Linked DNA regions of Alligator mississippiensis. The protein of the gene in region 2 purifies or fractionates together with the protein of the main gene of each other region. This does not show direct contact. Links are inferred from orthologs where the notes say so. Each region holds a gene or a part of one and is shown on either strand. Other genes may lie near its edges.

Region 1 (9,370 bases), on a different chromosome or scaffold from region 2:
ACTAGGATATATGCAAGTCAGAGAACATAAAAATGGCATAAGACATGCAAGTAAATTACACCACTGGAGATTCTATTTGTGAACCCCTCAGAGCATGGACTCATAGGCACAATATTCTTTACCAAGTTCTTTGGTAGTGGAGATTGGTGGAAATACCATGGGGAAAGATGCCTTGCAACCATGTATGAATTGGCATAAAATGGAGAGGAAACTCACCAACAGGTAGTGGGCCAGGGCCTATCTGATGGCTTGAAATTAATCCATCCTGTTTTTAGGCTAGTCTACTTCTTTTGAAAGCGACTGAAAGTGGGCCCTCTTACTCAAATTTTTGTGCATTCACATAATTACTTCTTCCTTTAATAACTAAACTAAGGTGTGAATACTATGTCTTCTTATGCATCATCCAAGAGAGTTGCTTACTGAGTTCCAGTCAATCACATCAGTGCTGTCCCCTGAAGGAAATGATAAAACACGGAGGTCAGCAAGGGCCTAATTTGAGAACTGCACAGATAAAGAGGTTTAAGAGGATAACTTGGCACCCAGAAACATTTATTACTGTTGCTAATGCATAAGCAGGAAAGAACCCAGCTTGACTTGTCTGCAGGACTGGTAATTAGAAACACATCTTTTTATTTGTAAATTGAGCACACCCAATACAGAGAACACTGAGAAACCACAAACCATTCTGAGGGGCAAAACAACTCTATGATCATGGGCATATTAATTCTATTACACAAGGTTTAGTACAATGGGATGTCTAGGTACTACTATAAAACAAAACAAATTAAAATGGTACAGGATTCTTATTTCAACATCCTGCTGGTTTGCAGTAACAGTGCCAGCGAGCAGAGGGGAGCAGACAGCTGCAGCAAATATTCCAGCTTTTCAAGTAATCTCCATCAACTACTTACAGCAATGACACATTTTAAGACCTTTTCATACAGAAGCAAATGTTACAGGAGTTAAATCCATTTTCAAAATGGTTCACAAGCTTCTCAAAGAGACTCACAGCTCAAACAAAGCTTTCGAACAGGTTTGTATATAACATGGTTTAATGCTCTAACTCCTTGTCCATGTTGGACTTTTTCTCCTTAAAATTTCTTCCATCACAGGTGGAATCAACAGTGAAAAGTGCACAGACAAGCCGCTAGTAACCAACACCTTTTTTAAACATTCATCACCTAAATTTACCATGGACAGGGTTAGACAACACAAAGGTTAAAACCTCAGTAGCACCAAAGCACTACCACACATCAGCAGTAATGGAAAAATTGAAAGAATGAAGTCTGGGATAAACAAGTCCAAACTCAATATTCTCTCCTTAAGCAGCAAGAGTAGGAAGGCAATGTCCATCTCTAACTATTTCTTCACGGGCATGTGCTTTTACTACTTTCCTCTTTTCTTAAATACTAGAAGAACAGTTAGGTACACTAGGGTCTCATATTAGGACACAGAACGATCCGACACACTGCAGACATAAAGCAGAACATTTAACTTTGCTAGGTCCTTTCTATAAGTTTAAAACCTTTTAATATTATTTAAAGAGGTAAGAAGACCATGTGCTATGTGCTTCAATAGAATCCTTAAGTCTCCACTCCACACCACAAAGGAGCTGACAACTGGACAGCTTCAGAGACTATGAACCCAACTATCAGTTAACAAGTTTTTTTTAATTCTTTTCAAATTTTTGTAAGTAATTTACAAACAACAAAAATAGGGGTTTGTAACAGTATTGTAATGAAACCAGTGAATATCATTACTGGAAAGAAATAGTCAAATCTCTCTACTACTATTATTGCTAAAAAGTTAGTTGTCAAATGTTAGCGCACAATTCACTTTTTTATTCTGGACGTAAGAACAAAAAAGTAAAACAGCACAACTGATAAAAACCAGATATTTGGGTCTTATCATGTAGTCTTAATTCATGAGAGTAATCCCATGGAAGTCATTAATCACAGTTTGTTAAGAGGCTCTCTAAACACTAGATAAACCATTGCTAGAAGCTCCAGAGCCAGATCTCTTTCATCTGTAATTTCTGATCCCCACCCCCCAGTCTCTCTGCCTGTAATGGAACAATCACCTCCAACGGTACACTTTCTTGATGTAGTTTAGTTTCTTGATGCAGTGTAGTGTTTTAAACATCCCAGACTACACATCTCCAAGGTTTCCTTTGTTCTAAGGTCAGGAAGTTTCCCTCAATAGTCAGCCTAAAATTTGCCTCCCTGTCTCCTGGCGTACGCGCCAGACCACTGCGCTCCAGCAGAGCCCCAACCAAGTCCAAGCAGCAACATGTGAGCAGAATCGCCTGCTGGGTAGCCAAGTGTGCAGGGTCATTACTCCCCTTCCTTTGTATCCCTCAGATATTCATAAGCCACTTCTACCTCACTAACCACGTTGTGTATTTCACATAATTTTTCTCAAGTCATCAAAAGCTCCATAAAAAAAATTTTAAAAAAATCCATTAGTATTTTTCTTCTTCCTGAACTCCTGCCACAGGTTTGGTAACACAGAGCCCAGGCCTGAGCATACGCTGGATCTAACCACCCTGGCCTGGAGGGCACCTAGAAAGGGCACCTCCCCAACTCCTCCCTTGCCGGCTGAGGCAGGTGCCTAAGTAGGCGCCCCAACCTGCGCGACCCCTCGCCTGCAGATAGGTCCCTCCGTACTCGGGCGCAGGGCCCGTCCCGCGTCACTGGGTGCTCTACCTTGGCGGGTCCAGCCTTCCCCGCCCTGAGGCCCCTCCATAACTTTGCGAGCTGGGCGGCACCGGATGGCGAGCACCAGGGCGGGGATGACAGCCGACGGGCCCTGGCAGGGGGCCGGTCGTCCCAGGCGGGGGCTGCACCCCCCTCCTCCTGCCCCGCAGCCCCCCGAGGGGACCCGCTGCCCTCAGCCGCGTGGCAGCCCCGGAGCCCGCCCCCGCCCCCGGCCTGTCAGCCGCCGGCCCCGGCCTCAGCCCCCCCGCGCTCCCCCCGGGCCGCGGGCGAAGCCGGCCCGCAACAAAGCCCCGGCCGAGCGCCCCCGCACAGCGCGCAGCCCGCCGGCCCGGGCGGGCGGAACCGGACCGTCCTCCCTTTGTTCCGCCAGCGCCGCCGGCGGCCCGGGCTCCCCCGGCCCGGCCCGGCCCGGCCCGTGCCGGCCGCTCCCCCGAGGCGAGGCGAGGCGAGGCGAGGCGGGGCCGGGCGCTCCCGGGCCGTACCTGGTGCGTCTCCGCGGTGCCCGGGGCCGGCGGGCTGTGGCTGCCCATCATCGTGGCGTGCAGGGACCTGGACAGCGCGCTCCTGAGGGACCTGGCGGGGCCAGCCCGCATCCTCCTCCGCAGCGCCCACAGGAACACGGCGTAGCAGCCCAGCCAGACCAGCCACCGCCTCATCGGGGGGCGGGCCGCGGAGTCATGCCCTCCCGCAGCCCCCGCCTCCCCTCGCCATGGCAGCAGCAGCGGCGGCGGCTCGGCTCGGCTCGGCCGGCCCCGCTCCCAGCTCCGCGCTCCCCGCCGGGGCCCTGCGCACGCACAGGCCGGAACCCGGGAGGGCCGGGCCGCGGGGCCGGCCGGAGCGGATTGCGGGGACACGCCGGGGCCTGGCACGCGCCGGCTCCCTCCCTCTCGCCCGCCAATCACAGAGCGCCCCGGGGCCCTGCGCGCTAGGCCCGCGCCGCGGGGCGCCGCTTTCAAAACGGGCCGGGCGGACAATGGCGGCGCCCACCCCTTCGCTGCCGGAGCGCGGGAGGCGGCCCGGGAGCCCCCGCGCGGGTGGAGCCTGCCCGGCTCCGCCCCCGCGCGTCACGCGCCCGTCGCGGCCCGCCTCTCCCGGGCAGCACGTGCCCTGCTAGGCGCCGGGGTCCCATCTCCCGCGCTTCGCCCGGGGAAGCAGCCCTTGCCCCCAGGCAGAGCGGGGACCCCCGGGCTTTCCCCAGGCAGCTTCTTGAGAGCTCGGGACGAGGGAGCTCGAGCCTGGGGGAGGCAACGATACCCCCTCCCCAAAACAGCAAGTCGTTGGGTGCGGAGTGGAAACGGGGAGAAACTTCTTTAGACATCCTCTGTGATTCACCCAGGCAGCCTTCGTCCCTGGGGTGCCCTTGGCTCGGGCCGGGAACGTCCCAGTGGGGCCAGGTCCCAAGATGCGTCTGTGGAAAACAACCACTCAAATTTCCCTTTAAACTCCCTTTCACTGCATGATGATGCAGCCTTAGATGGGAGAAAAACAACACAAAGGCAGGCCAGAGTTTTGGGGTAAATCAGATATCTTTTATTAGACCAATTCAAATTGTTGGAAAAATTCTTCTTGGCAAGCTTTCGGGTATAAATACCCCTTGTCAGGCTGACGACGGGTCTGCGGTTGGTGTGTTCTTCCTGGGTGGAAGAGTAAGAGAACAGGGCTACAACCCACACCCTAGTAACACGAAGTGATGTTCTTTGGGGCTAAACCCCCAGCACCCTCTCACTTGGGAGATGAGCACATTTTCAATTCACCAGGATTCCCATCTTGAGAGTCATGACCCCAGATATTTGGCATATTGATCCCTGATCAGAGAATCTTTAGCTTTGTGCTATAAGGCCCAGCATCCTCACTGGACAGCACAGCAGACAGGCTGCTGTATTTGCTTTTTGCTAAAGCTTCTTTGTTTTAATGATACTAAGGTGTCACTCAAGACTTGCCCAAGAACAGGAGTCAGTGGATCAAAATAGATTAACATCATTGGAGGCAAGGCCTTACTGCACTTTACCATGTTGTGTTGCTCTGTTCAAGGTCCAGAATTTCAGGACCAAATCGTCAACAGTTTCTTCCCGGCTTCAGAAGGAAGCAGGTATTTTGCTTCCACAAAGAACCTTTCACTTTACTGCCACCATCCCATCATAGCCTTGCTAGGGGGGTGTTGACAGAGCACTCACATGCAGTCCCTTGTTCAAATGGGTGGACAGTGGACACAGTGTACATGTTCATTAATGCACAGTGGTCACTGTGCACTTAACATAGTATTTGTACAACCAAGCACTAAATAAATGCATAGTAACCAGAGTTACTGTGCAGTAGTGCTGGTGAACACCTTTTTGGTGATACTACTGGGCAGTAGCCTAATACTGTGCAGTAGTGTATTAGCACTGTCCATGCTGTGATGCACTATGGTGCTGTTTTATTAGGCTACTGTGCAGATAGCGTTTCATGTAGATGCGTCCAGTAGGTCCTCAAGACAGGAAATCAGTCCAAGGTTAGGGAATGCCCAACCTACACAGAGGCTTCTCTCTATATCAGGGGGCAAAAAGGCTGCCTTGTCAGATGGTTCTTGCATTTGTGTGTACCCATGCGTAGTAGCAATGAGGGATGTGTCTACAGCTATGGTTTGCTACCTTAAAAACTTTCCTCCTTTACACTACCCTACCTCAGGATAGCAGGGAAGACTCAAGCAGGCAATTTGCCTTCAGCAGGAAATCAGTAATGTAGTGATACTTCAGCAGATGGAACTTTACCAACAGACTTTGATGTGAGGGGGAGTGAGGTGTATTACACTCAGTGCAGGTTTCGTGTTTCTAACATTCAAAAGCATGTGGATGTTAGAGCATCTAAGGCTTCTTCAGACCAAGAGGAAGGAAGGTTATCTGGCATTAGCAGTGTTTTAAGAATAAAAAAACTACAGTTATTAACAGACCTACAGCCAGAAGCTAGCATTTCTAGGATTAAACAATATCTAAATAAATTTTGGATAATCTTATACCCAAAAGGTTATTGATGCTCTGTCCTTCAGTAGCAGTTCGTTTGGGTGTATTGAGAACTTGACCAGAAAATCAGAGAAAAGTGTTAATGCATACAAGGCAGCTCATTTGACAAGGAAATTCACATTAAATTGTCCATAACCCCACAGGAAAGGATGGTCGTGCTTTAAATTCTTTTAAGCTACATATAACCAAAAGTAGGGATGTTAAAGATCTGGGCTGGAGAGCCTCATCATGTGGCCCCCAGTACTGTCCCTGGATCTGGAGTTGGCCCACATGCTGCATGCACAGAGCTTGGGACCATCCAGGATGCACGCTGCACACTTCTTACCCTTCCCCTGTTGACTGCTCTGCGGTGGACACCACATGGAGCATATCTCAGACATGCAGTGCACACGTCTTGGAATGGCCCTGACCATATGCTATGTGGTGCAGTCGCAAGACTGGGCAGAATGAGTGCCACATGTGCTGGATGTTTGGACGGAGGTTTGTCCACGGGGCCAGATGAGTTTGACACCCCCAACCTAAAGGTATGGGACAGAAGGCATTGTGTTAACTGGGCACTTCCTTGTTTTCTAACATTTGTGCTTTGTTACAGATATTTTCTGGTTCCTATAGCTGTCAGTTTTCCATTGGTATCCCCTGCATGCTAGAATGATGGAAGACTGCCAGGAAACCTTACAACCCTTTTAATTCTTTTGATCAATAAGCAAACACAAACCTTCAATCATCTAGGAGGCAACAGAAGGCAAACAGAAGACTACCTTAACCTACCAATATTGTCCTAGATCAAATATTGCTTGTTAGAATATTCCAGTCTAGCACAGTGTAGGGTCTGAGCAAGCTTGCTGGAGTTTTTGCGGGGTCAGATCCAGGCTGTAAATGTTTTAGGACGGGACTGTTTTATGTATTTGGTACAATTAGGCAGAACTATGATGCTGTATACAAATATTACTGGTGACGGTGTAGGCCTGAAAATGAAGAATAATATGAAATCACTTGAAACAGCAAGACCATTTAGGTAGAGCCTGTGCAGTTGTTCCAACTAGAATTTGATTGTGGCATCAGGGATAACAACTTCAGTTCTCCAAGAAAGTGCTCGTCAATGACCACAAGCAGTTGGCACCTTTCTTTAAATCACATTTGAAAGCCAGGCTTCCAGCACCTCCTAACGCCATACTAAGAATGACACTCATCAAAGTTAATGCACCACTTCATGTGGCATTCTGGGATCCTCCTTGAGGGTCTTTTCTCCAAGTACCAATCGAGTCTAACCCTTCTTAGGTTGTGAAATGCTGACAAAACTAGAGCAACAACAAGAATATTGCTAAAGGATCTTTCTGTTAAGTTCACTATCATTTATGTTTAGCTTTCTTAAGGACAGTTTTTGACAGAACAACTTTAGACATTTGCCAGGGGCAGTTTTTTCCAGAGGAAGAATTTTCTCCCTTAGGTAGAAGGGCTAAGATGCCTTTTTACTCTGTTTCTGTCTGGTTTGAATTAGGAAGCCCTTCTCTGTGTACATTGCTGTTTACAAGTATAGATCAGCCTATTTTCTCAAGGAATGAAATAACATTGCAGTCCAAATGCCAGATGACAAAGCTAAGTTTTCTGCTTTTTAAACAAATGCCTGCTTCCAATATATAAACTGCTAATTAAATGGTTAGTTGCACATAGCTTTAGATTAGTTGCACATAGCTTTACAGTTTCACAATGAAAGAGATATCAGCTAATTTTTTATCATATCTAAACTAGATCATGATCTGCCTATTAATTAAACAAAAAAAAGTTACTACCTTTAGGTTTTGGGTACATTTCTAATGAGATATTTCAGAGTTTCTATCAAGTGCTATATAGCTACTAATCGTTTATGTGATTAATATTCTGTTGCAAGTATTTGTATGCAAAGCATATTTTCCTCTTCCAAGACTGTAAAATATGTACTGATCAGGTGAATGGCAAGTAATAATTATGATGCATTCCCAAACTTTTTGCCAAACTCTGATGGAACTATGTCCTGTATCGAATTGCTATACAATCTAAGAATACTGTATCTTAAAAAAATACACAGTACACACACACATTTAAAAGCAATTAGCTTTAGAGTGATGATCTGTAGATATTCTGGTACAAATATCTTTTCTTACTTTCTCTTCATTTTGCTGGCCAGCATTTTTCTCCTTCCCCATTTGCTTTTTGTTGGAAAAAATCATTACAGACTTACCTATTAATTGTGGTCCCACAAGAGATCCAAAAATCATCCAAAGGTTTAGATACTTTGCCAAAAAAGGAGGAATTCCATTTATTTAACAGAGTCTGTATTTGTTGTGTTTTAATAATGAGAGTTTTTGTTGCCATTTGTTCAGTCTGCTTTGACTATACCATTGACCTGTCCTGTATCTCATCATGGCTTTATTAGGTTAAAAAAAGATTCTTTAAGACCTAGTACCTATCATCCAGTTACATCTAGCATGGACTTTTGCATATTAATTTTAAAGTAAGTAAAATTAATTTGATACATTAATATATTCTGAGAATCTATAGAGAGAAGTCTTAAGGAAACGTATGTAATAGGATTTAGGCTTATAATATTGTTAAACTATTGTAATGTTTCCCAATACTATACTCTATTTTACATATGATGAGCCTAGTTTAGATATTTTGAAAATAGTAAGATTAATATGAGGCATTTTGTCAGCCATGTGACTTCAGGCTCAGGTTCCAGCCTGTGTTAACATAGACAAATCAGCAGTTGAAACAGATTACACTTTTGCATGGTCCATGAATGACTCGTGCCCCCAGTGGCAGTGGGGATAAGTGGTGGAGCTCCCGCAGCCAGCGGCAGCGCTGTTGCCAGTGTGGGGGGGCAGCGGGCAAGCACTGACCAAGGGTCAGTGACCACCTGCAGCTGCTGCCAGCAGCGGTGGCGGTAGCCAGTGGGGACTGCAGGCTGGTGTTGGGGTGGCAAGCGGCTGCTGTCTACAGGCAACAGCAACAGTGTGGGCAACGCCTTTCTGTAGGGGGTGCACCACCACACACAGGGTGCACATGCACTTGTGTGCACCCACTATGTGTCACCCCTGGCATGGTCATACTATTAGTTAAAGGGATCTTGTAGGTTCAGCAAAGATACCAAAAATATAACTGTTTTAGATGCTGTTTTAGTCTCCATTTCTATCAAAAAGTCTGGTCCACCTATTGCTAATTTTTGTGATGAGTGACTGCCACTTGAACTTCATCAATTGCCCCAGGTCTCTTTTAATAATGCTTTACATAGCAATAGATGCTTCTGCTCTGTTGATGGGAGAGAGAAAAAGGATGAACAAAAAGAAAGCTAAGGAGCCCTGTCATCCCCCCACCCCCCTTTAATTGAATAGATTTCATAGACATTTGGGCTGGAAGGGACCCCAGAGGATCATCGAGTCCAGCCCCCTGCCCAAAGGGCAGGAAGTCAGCAGGGATCATAGGATCCCAGCAAGATACACATCCATGCATGTCTTGAAGGCATTCAAAGTGGGTGCTTGAACCACCTCCAGCAGCAGTCTATTCCGAACCTTGAGAGCTTGGACAGTAAACAAGTTCTTCCTTATGTCCAGCCTGAACTGCTCGCGGAGCAGTTTATAACCGTTCTATCTTGTCATCCCTTGGGGCACTCTGGTG
Region 2 (10,093 bases):
AGTGCAGCTGCACCCCCAGAGGCAGGGGCCTGTCTCACCCCCAAGCCCCTTCTCATCCAGCTGGGGTTCAAGGAGAGGGGAGGGGGCAATCCTCACCTCTGCAGGGCACATGTCAAGAGGCTGTGGCATGGGGAGGTGGGTTAGAGAGGTGCCCAGAGCTTCTGCATTCATGAGCAAAATCCCTGCTGGCATCTGGCTGACCAGGACCTGATCCTGGAAACCCACAGGGATCCCCCAGCTTCCAGCCCTAGAAGACCTCCCAGTCCCTGGATTAATTATCCCTAGGGGTGACCAAGGCTTACCAGCCAGTCGGGGCATTCCCATAGGAGGGAGTTAGCCTTTGCCATTAGCCAGCAACTCCCGCCCATTCTCTCCAAGCCCACCCCCAGAGCCACGCACATGAGATTCACGGCCACGGCGCAGGCTGAGGTGATGAGCATGGCCTCCCCTCGGATCTCGTACTCGTTGGAGAGCAGCCGCTCCACAGCCAGGTAGACCAAGACACCCGTCACCACCCAGATGGACAGCACCGAGAGCAGGGCCCCCAGGATCTCTGCGGGGGGGCAAGGCCAGGGTTAGAGCGAATGCTTCACCTCCGAGCTCTCCCCACGCCCCCAGCCTCTCCTGGACCTGGAGTGGCCACGGCAGCCTCCCTTCATCTCCCAAAGCAGCTCCCCCCATTCAGCTCCAGCACCCCCTCTACGGCCTGCACTGTGAAGCCGGCAGCATTGGGGGAAGGCCTCTGCTTGCCATTTCTAGTTCCTTGATGGTCCGTACCAGCCCCTGGAACTACAGCTAAGCACGGGGACTTGGAGAGGCCCCTGTGCACAAAGCTTAAACTTGCTCCTCCAGGGCCAGCTGCTTTTCCAGCCCCACTGCTTCCCCCTGCACCTTCTGGAGGCAAATCACAGCAGCTCTGAGACCCCAGGGCTAAAAGGCTGCAAGTCCAGCCCACCGGCACTGCACGAACCACAGCAGCACAGAAGGCAGGGCACTCAGTTAGGACAGTCTAGGCCCTTTAGCATCAACGCCGTAAGGCAGCTGCACACAGCAGTCACAAATGACCGAGGGAGATGCAGCATGGTGTCCTTTCCCCCTCGCAAGACCTGCACTGGCTCTGCAGCAGCTGCAGCGATGCTTTCCTCTTAACAAGCCAGCCACCTCTCTACGAATCTCAGTATCTGCAGTCCACGCATTTAAAGGGGCTGCTGGCACCCCTGCTAGCACCGCGGAGGGGCTATGCCAGCCCGAGGACTCTTGCTGCATGGCTTATAGCAACTCCGTAGAGCAGCAGAAAGCTGGGATGGCTAAAGAGGCATTTATTTACTGGTATCCCTGCATCTCCATTAGACTCTGTACTGTCCCGGTGCTCTTCATGGTGGGCGATTTTGCCCCCCTGCCAACTCCTACCTGGCACAGCTACACTGGCAAGGCTGTGTAGCGTACACCCAGCCTCAGTGGTTTCAGGGAGAACAGCCCAGCTTCTGGGCTCACATTTGGCCTTCTGGATCCAGAGGCCAGGGCTGCAGCCACCGTACAGGGCTGAATAGTTAATCCCAACCTAAACTGCCAGTGGAGTAGCAAAGCCCACGGTTTGTGCCAGCAGAAACCAGGCTCAGACCCTGCGCTTGCACAAACACTTGTTACCAGAAAGGAGAGCAGGGCAGGGAGGGGGAGAGCCCAGGCAGGAACTCCTGGAGGGGGCATTTAGAAAGCCCAAGGGCCGTGGAAGTGATAACAGACACCTGGGCCTCTAGGATTTCCAGAACAAAGGCCTGCCCTGCTGAGATAGCGGGGCTGAGGCCAGGCACAGGCCACTGCTGATTTCAGCAGGATCTGCTCATGTCCAGCTGTGGAGGGCATGACCCTCCACACCTTGGCCCCAGCTTCAAGCACACCTCACTGCTCAAGAGCCACGAGTGTTTTACGGGCTGTAAGGCTGGACAGGGGCACTTTGTCCCGTCTCCCAGCCCCGCGTCAGAAGGGAGGGGATGCACCTTCCACTCCTGGTCCAACAAGGCACAGATGGGGAGGTCACCCCAGGCAGGAGAGCCTCCACGATCCCCAGAGCTGGTCAGTGGTGGACGGAGAGGTAGCGAGGACTTACCCATGTAGGCAGCTTGCCACCCTACAGACCACCCCCATCCACAGTACCTGCTCGGTGCCAGCCGAAGTTCATGGTTTTGGTGGCCGGGCGTGAGGCCATCCACAGGGAAAACAGGCTGATCATCATGCTGGCGAAGTCCGTCAGCAGGTGGGCCGCGTCCGTCATGATGGCCAGGCTGTGGGCCAGGTATCCCCCTGCGGGGTGGAGAACGTGGGGCACGCTGCACAGGGGATCCTCCCAGCATGCCCAGCCCCAGGCGAGGGAGGTGCCAGGGTGCAAGCTCAGAGGTACAGGGGGCAACCCCCCAAAAAGTTGCAGGCCATGTGCTGGGGCTGCTGGGATTTCTCTGAAGCCAAATGTTCGCTGTGTCTGTCCCGATGCAGGAAGGGAGCCTGGGGAGGGCTGTGATTTTAGGTGCTCTCCCCTGTTCTACTACAGCACAGAGAAGCCTCAGCTCTGCGGGTCCCGCACCACTCAGCCTTGCCCCTACGCTAGCTCTGTCTCGTGGGTAGGAAGAGAGGCAGAGACTGGCCTGCTGCCCCAGGCTGGCCTGGTCCTTGCGGGGATGGGGCCCTCAGCCAGACCTGCAGGTATACTACCGTGGTCACACTGCCGTGCTCAAATGCAATTGCTTCTAGGGTGGAACGCGGCAGGGAAGAACAGCCACACGTAACACAGGGCAGTGGGAGGAAAACGAGTCCTTTTCATGGATGTTTCAGCTCTTATCAAGTGGAGACGGCTTGCACCTCACCTATAACTTCCCCCGTCATGAAGACCAGGCAGATCAGCGACGCCAGGTAGAGTTTCCTTCGCGCCCGCTCCTTATCGGAGCCGCCGTGGTCGTCGGTGACCCGCTGCGAGTGGCAGTGCTGGCTGCCCTGTACCCCCAGCTCGATGGAGGCCAGGTCCGGCATGTACCTGAGCACGGAGCTGTGGAAATCCTTCCCCGACACGCCGAGGCAGGGCCTGAAGCGCAGAGCTGCCCTTACTGCCCGCCCTGGGGGTGGCGGGCGGCTCGGGAGGGGAGACCGTGGGGGGCGGGCAGAGGTTTGCAATCGAAATGGGGGCCCGCGAATGAAGGACCACGGGTTCATCTCCAGCCCACCCCAAAGCAGCGCCCGAAGAGAGGAGAGCGGCCGCTGGGAGGCTCAGACCCCGAGCGCCCACCCGCTGACATCCAGCCCTTTCTCCCCGGCCAGGCCGGGCTCCCAGGGAATCACTCCTGGGAGTCTTGGCAGCCTCCCCAGGAGCTCCCACCGCCTCCCCTGCAGCCCTGAACCCCCTTCCCCGCCCCAGTGAGCAGGGCAGAGACCCAGGGGCTGGGGGCACTAGGAGTGGGGCAAATGGGACTGGGGGCACCGGGGGGTTAGGGGCACCGTGGCAGGGGGCTGGGGGCGCTGCGGGCACTGGGGGCAGCAGGGAGGGGCCGGAGCCCCGTCCTCACCCGGCCGCGGGCTCGTGCAGCAGGTGCCGCCGCTCCTCGCCGCGCTCCATGCCGCCGCCGGCCCCGGCTGCCTCCTCCGGAGCGGAGCGGAGCGGGCCCGTGTGCAGCGGGGCGGAGGGCGGCCGGCAGCGCCGGCTGCAACACGTGCAGCGCCGAGCACCTGGAGCGCGGCCGGGCTCCCGCCGCCCGGTGCGCACGGCCCCGCGGGGCACGCCCTCGGCTGCGGGAGCCCCCGCCCGGGGCTGCTCGCGCTTCCCGGGGCCCAGCGCCGTGGTGCCGAGCTCCGGGAGGAGACTAGAAGTGCTTGAAGGAGGGGGTTTGCTGCTCCCAAATCACCTGGGCTCGGCCCCTCCGAAAGCCCGGCCCCGAGCGCCAAGGCCGGCGAGAAACCCAGGCTGCCAGGCACAGATAAGACCCGAGGTCCTTTATTGTAACAATGTGCAAGGTGAACAATAAATCCCGTGGGAGCCCGCGCCTCGCAGAGCCTGGTCGTGGGAGGGCGCTCAGCTGGACCCCCAACAAACACAACACAAGAAAAGCCTTTCTAGCTGCTCCAGCTCCTTCTGCGCGCTGAGGTGTGGTGCTGTCCTACCTGGACCCCCCGCCCGCCCCCAGTTGCAAAGAAACTCCGTCATTCCCAGAACCAGCATCGCCCGCCCCTGCGAGCGGGCAGGGCACAAGGAAGGAGCAACAGAGCTGCTTTTACAAAAGACAACAAGGTTCAAGTCCTGTCACAATTATATACAAAAAGAGGCCGTATAAAATGTACGGAATATTCCTGTTTGCACCCGTATAGAAAAGTGTCCGTTGCTCAAGTTTTCATCCTGCTTGGCCAAGCCCGACTCTTCCCCGGGATCCAGGACGCCGGACGCCGCCTCCTGCAGCTTGGCACAAAGTCAGAGTGTTCCCCCACCCCGTCCCCCGACTGCTAATCCATCCGCTCCCTGCACGGGAGTTTCTTCGGCTCTGGATTTCCTCCTGCTCCGTTATTGAGGTGCTGGAAGAGGAGGGGTGGAGACGAGGTGAGGGGGGCTGATGGCAGGAGGAGATTGAGGAGTGAAGGGGAGATGGGAAATTTCCCCCAGGCATCACTTAAACCCAATGGGACTTTGACCACTGCCTCTGGGGAGTCCCTTCCACCCCTGAGAGGTCTGCAGTGAGAAAAGCCTCATCCTTACACCCTGTCCGACCCCTGCTTTGTAGCACCTGCTGTTCCTCCCTGCAAGGGTTCCAGAAAGTCAGGCAGCGTATGCCTCAGAGGGAGTTTCCTGCACTGTCCTGTTAATAGCTGCTGAACAGAACAAGTGGAGACGTTTGCTCTGGCACCTCTAAACCGTTAGGGGAGGGTAACGACTAGGGGATGGGTCACCAGATCTACCCAGCTCAATGCTCTCCCTAAAGCATCCCACTGTCAGAGGCAGGATGCTGTGATAGCTGGACCCACAGCTCCTCCCGATGCTCGACCACCCTTCAAGTCACCAAGTTCCTCCTCATTTCCAATCTGAATCTCCCCTGCTGCGGCATGAAGCCATGGCTCCTAGTCCTGTTGCCTGTGGTCCCCCTAACGCCCATCTCCATCCTCTCTGTCATCACCCTCCGGGGAGGTGAAGACAGTGATTAAATGCCCCCTCAATCTTCTCTTCTCCAGACTAAACAGCCCTTGCTCTTGCAGCCTGTCATCATCAGTCTTGCCTCCCAGGCCCCTGATCACTTTTATTGCAGTGCAGTGGACTCTTCCCAAACTGACCACATCCCTCCTGACGTACGGGGCCCAGAACTGGACACGGGGGTCCAGGGGAGGCCTCACCCATGCTGAACAGAGCGGCAGAATCGCGGCCCTTGATTTACAAGCGATGCTCCTGTTCGTACAGCCTAGGAGGCTGCTGCTTTTTTTGCAACAAGAGCGCGCCGTTGGGTCTCAGCAGAGTGGAAGCTGTACCCCGCAGCGCACAAAGGAGCTCATTGCTATTTTAGTGAGGGGTACGAGATGCTGCAGCAGGAACAGACCGGGCGCCTCTGTCTGCAGGGCCTGACCCAGGAGGGCTGCGAGTCCCTGGGTTTGTACCACTCGCCAGCCTGCCGCGCTCCGCTCTCGACTTACCATCGACTTTCTGTTCTTGAGACAGCTCCTCTTCTGATTCTTCTCTCTCCTCATTAAATTCCTCCTCTTCCTCCTCTTCAAACACAAAGGGTGTGATTTAGAACCCCTCAGTCCCGCCCCGGCGCTTATACAAGAGAAGACACCCTCACACCTCCGTGTCGGCATTTTCTTTGGGGTTAGGGAAAGAAGGATGTCTCTTAGACTGTGAAGAGACATGCCCTGGATTCTGTACTTGGTTTGTCTAATAAATTATTGCCTAGCTTTGGGTGAGTTGGTTTGGAGTTTCTAGGCCTCGGTTTTCCCTTCTGTAAAGTGGGTCTGGTGCCCCTTTCCCGTGGGGGTTGTGAAGAAAATCAGAACGGAAGAACTGCCATTGACTGGGTCAGACCGTAGGTCCATCCTGCCCAGTCTCCTCTGTCACACAGCAGCAGAGAGCTGATGCTGAAGGGGAGAGCGAACAGGGTCTGACCCAGGATTTTTCCCACCGTTCCTCTCCTACGTGCAGCCTCCAGCATTTAGGGTCTAGGAAGCTCTGATTCAGAGGCCGTCCTCCTAGCTACCTGGCTGTTCCTCTAACCCTTGAGCTCGATCAGTGCCTGCAAAGCACGCTTGGGTGGACAGCACAAGAAAAGTGCTTTCAGGCAACGCATGAGTGGAAGGGGCCAGAGAAGGACAATACCTGCTTCAAAGTCAATAGCCCTCAGGGTTTCCATGATGGACTCCAGGTCCAGGCTGAAGGAGTCCATGTTCTCAAAGCCTTCCTCGATCTTCTCCAGCAGACCACCCTTCGATGCCTCCACGATTCTGGAGGAGGCAGGAAAAAGCTCCTTTCAGTTTTAACTCACTTAGGAGCCCATTTCAGCTGGACTGAAACCACTGCCCACAGAGCCCTGGCCACTGGTTAGACTAAAGCCATTTACAAACCAATTTAAACTGAGCTCATGAGCCCCTCTCACATGCACAGGGGAGCTGACATGGACCAGGGAGTCAGAAGGACTTAGCAGAGCAGCCCCATAGCCCTCAAGCGTCCCGCCCTGTCCCACTTTCATGCTGGCTGGGGTATCACAACGGAGACACCATGCAGCAGCGCTGTGTGTGCTCTTGAATTGGTTTGCAAGGAGTTTGGCGTTTAAGCTGCACCCTGAGTAAGGGCTCCCCCCGGGAACTGAAGCTCCCTCGGGGGACGTTGACTTTGCTGGGACAATGAGCGTGGCACCGAGGTAGTGGCTCACTAATGCATCCTGGGGACTTACGTTTTAATGAGCTTCTGGGCGTTCTGTGGGGGGAGAGAGAGAGAGAGAGAGAGAGAGAGAGAAAGGGTTAGCAGAACTGGCCTTGAAGGCTGCCAAAGCAGCAGGGTGGAGCTGACACCCACTGGATATCAGTCGTGGGAAGGGTTGGGGATGTGGGGGAGCCTTGAGAAGCAGCTGCCTGGAGCCAGAGCATGTTGCCCAGCTGCTCTGGGGAGCTCCCTTTTGCTAGGCTGGAGCTTGGCAGCTGGCTGGGGTAGCAAAGGGCACAGCCAGTGGCTGCTGGCTTGGGTTGAAAGGAGACACAATCTGGCAGGTGGGGGAATCTCTCTGGATGGGGGCAGGCAGCATGATTAGACCCAGGCTCCCGTCAGCGCCCATCCCCTCCTCCCCATGTCCTACGCCCGGTGGCAGACGCCGCTCACCATGAGGAAGGTGGCACCTCCGGTCTCCTCCATGGACTGGAAGGCCGTCTCCACCAGCTTGCTGGACTTCTCCAGCTGCTCCTTGTACTTCTGCACCAGGGCCTGGAGGAAGCCGGTCTTGTGCTCTAGCACCGCGGTGATGCGCTGCAGCAGCTCGTTCTTCTTCTCCTCCAGGACGGCGGCCAGGGTGTCAAACTTCTCACACAGCTCCTGCCGCACCCGCTGGCTGTTCTCCTGCCGAGGAAGCACAGCATGAGTGCCCGGCTGGCAGGGAAGGGGTGGGCACAGCTCCCAGACCCCACCACGGAGCAGGGCACCTCGCTGCTGCCCGGGGCAGGGGCCAGCCTCATACACTCCTTCGCGCCTGCTGATACGTGCCCCGAGCTCAGCTCTCGGCCCCAGAGGATCCCCAAGGGAGGCAACATTGGGGGGGGACAAACATACTGGTGCAAGCCACCAGGGAAGGGGAAAGCAATCCCTGGTTTGACTAGTAAGAGACTCTGAATCTGAGACTTAAAAGAAGGAGCTGGAAGCCAGGACTTCTGGGAGCTCTCTCCCTCCTTGTGGCCTTGAGGGACCGTCCATGTGTGCTTTTATCTCGGGGACAGGGCCGAGCACCCAACGCCCACGCTAGCCCTCTGAGGCTGTGGCTCAGGGTCGGGTTTCTCTGGGGCCACTCGGGTTTCCGCAGGCTCACTCATTTTCCCCGTGCCTCACCTCGGTGGCGCGGCAGGACTCCTCCAGCTGGTTGATGATTGTCTGCACCCTGTCATTCCCCGCCACCAGCATGGAGATGCAGTTGCTCAGCTCGGTCTGCGAGGGAGGACAGAAATAGAGGTGGCTTCAGCCCTCCTGCTGGTCTCTTGGGGGGGGCAGGAGGATGGTGGGGGGTAGCCTGGTCCCTCCGGGTGTGGACACCAGGATCAATCAGGTTTGTCTCTGCTCAGGGCTCTCAGACTCCCCCCGAACCCAGTGCACAGAGCAAGGGGTGCCATGGTGCGTGCCGGGAGAGATCCTGCCATATGTGGACCCTGTTCAAGCAATTCCTTCCTTCCCAGGTGCCTAGAACCCGCTGCCCCTGGAGCCAGTGCTGGCCTCGTGAGGGGCTCTAAATATAGAAGGTGACTTCTCCACACCCGGCTATGAATACCCCGGTGACGGGGCTCCGAAGCTATTCCCGAAAGGCACGGCTCAGCACCTCTCGGGTGTCTCCAGCAGAGCCTCCCCCCATCCCTGGAGGCCAATCAACGTTCCAGGGGACCGGATGGGAACCCCTCTAGGGACACGGCAGGGCATCCCTTGGCCTCTGGCTGCTCCCCTGCCCCCAGGGTCGCTGGTACCTTCTGCCCCTGGAAGACGTTCTGGAGGGGGGCGACTTCGCAGTCCTTGTGAGCCCCAAAGACCTTGCACATGGAGCAGGTGGGCACCTCGCAGGTCAGGCAGTAGATGTTGATCTTCTCGTCCTCGTGCTCCTTGCACATGGGGTGTTTGCCCTTCTTCAGGGGCCTGCTGCAGGGAAAGGAGGCAGGCATTAGCAGCGCTGGCACCCGGGCCTAGGACTGAGCTGTGGCATGAGCCCAAAGCCTGGACCAGGGTCTTAGTGCGGTTGAACCTCCCCCAGCCCCAGCCTCTCCAGCCCCGGCTCGGAGGGACGGGGCTAGATCTGGGTCTCATTTTCATTGCTGTGATGCTGTGTCCAGCACCCGGGAGGCCGGTTCTGTCTGCCCTTGGTGCTAATGAAGGGAAGGGTCAGGACTAGACAGCCCTGTCCAGTGGTGCCACCTGCCATCAGTCCTTCTCGCCACCACTCAGAGCCAGTTCTCAGAGCGTTCAAACTCGTGTCTCTGAGATTACCACCTCCCGGCAGGCATCACTCTGCCCTACCCCCAGCCAGCGCAGAGCAAGCCATAGAGGTGACTAGATCCACTAGGATGATTAAGTCCCTGGTGCCTTGGGCCCAGATTCACGGAGGATGCAGAATCTCCTAATTATAGACACAGGGTGCCATCAAGTTAGAGGCTCCTCGCGCCTCTTTAAGGCCAACTCCTGGTGCCGCTAGATCTTTATTTCCTTCTGCAGGAGCCCAGGGTATATTTAAACACAGGCAGTTGAGCCCTGGCCCCTTTGGTCGGCTTCCCCTTTTATAGGTAACATGACTGCAGCTGAGAGAAGGGGAGTTAAATCAAGTCAACCCTGGCCACCCCTCTGCACTCAAAGCATCACACCTCCCGCCCTGGGAACATGGAGACAGGCATAAACTTGGTAAATCTGGGCAGTATTTTTCTGTGGTTTCTGGTTCTGGAGGCATCGAGGGACCTGTTTTCCAACTTTTCTCTTGAAAATTCATTTAAATAAAAATAGCGATTGGATTCCTACGGATTCACCAGACCCCGGGAGCTGGGACGTTAGGGACAAAATCATGAGAGGCTTGTGAAGCCACCCTGGGAGCTGGGAGCCGCTCTCATCAGCCCTCCCTTCATCTGCTTGGATTATTTAGACGATAAATGTTTTGGAGCAGAGGCCACCTCTCCTGGTGTGTTTGCATAGCGCCCAGCACGATGGCAGGTCAGCCTTGGCTGAGGCCTCTGCACGCTCCTTCGATAAATAATCCATCTCAGTAATGAATGTCAGACCAGTGCTGTGAGGTCTGATGCCCCCATCGCCCCAGCTCTGCCCTTGCCATTCTGTATGACCGGCCAGCCATGCTCCCTTGGCCAGCTTTTGATCTGTGCTCAGAGCCAGGCGGGTGTGAATTTCCATATTATC

What was found. The genes of interacting proteins can lie anywhere in the genome.
Region 1: the proteins of SLC30A2 (region 2) and METTL9 purify together in Homo sapiens (co-immunoprecipitation; 3 studies listed by BioGRID and IntAct, with this or other methods). This does not show direct contact. The link is inferred for Alligator mississippiensis from reciprocal best matches to the Homo sapiens genes SLC30A2 and METTL9.

The regions. Positions count from the first base shown.
Region 1 is NC_081836.1:46,715,001-46,724,370, reverse strand, and holds the start of METTL9 (protein-L-histidine N-pros-methyltransferase), read right to left. Parts: upstream 3,698-9,370; 5' UTR 3,374-3,697; coding exon 3,200-3,373; intron 1-3,199. UniProt on the Homo sapiens protein: Protein-histidine N-methyltransferase that specifically catalyzes 1-methylhistidine (pros-methylhistidine) methylation of target proteins.
Region 2 is NC_081829.1:3,293,512-3,303,604, reverse strand, and holds the start of SLC30A2 (proton-coupled zinc antiporter SLC30A2), read right to left. Parts: upstream 3,742-10,093; 5' UTR 3,602-3,741; coding exon 3,552-3,601; intron 3,074-3,551; coding exon 2,859-3,073; intron 2,302-2,858; coding exon 2,155-2,301; intron 554-2,154; coding exon 400-553; intron 1-399. Other genes in the region: E3 ubiquitin-protein ligase TRIM63, read right to left, coding at 4,538-4,548, 5,653-5,727, 6,332-6,456, 6,906-6,928, 7,328-7,561, 8,045-8,140, 8,668-8,836.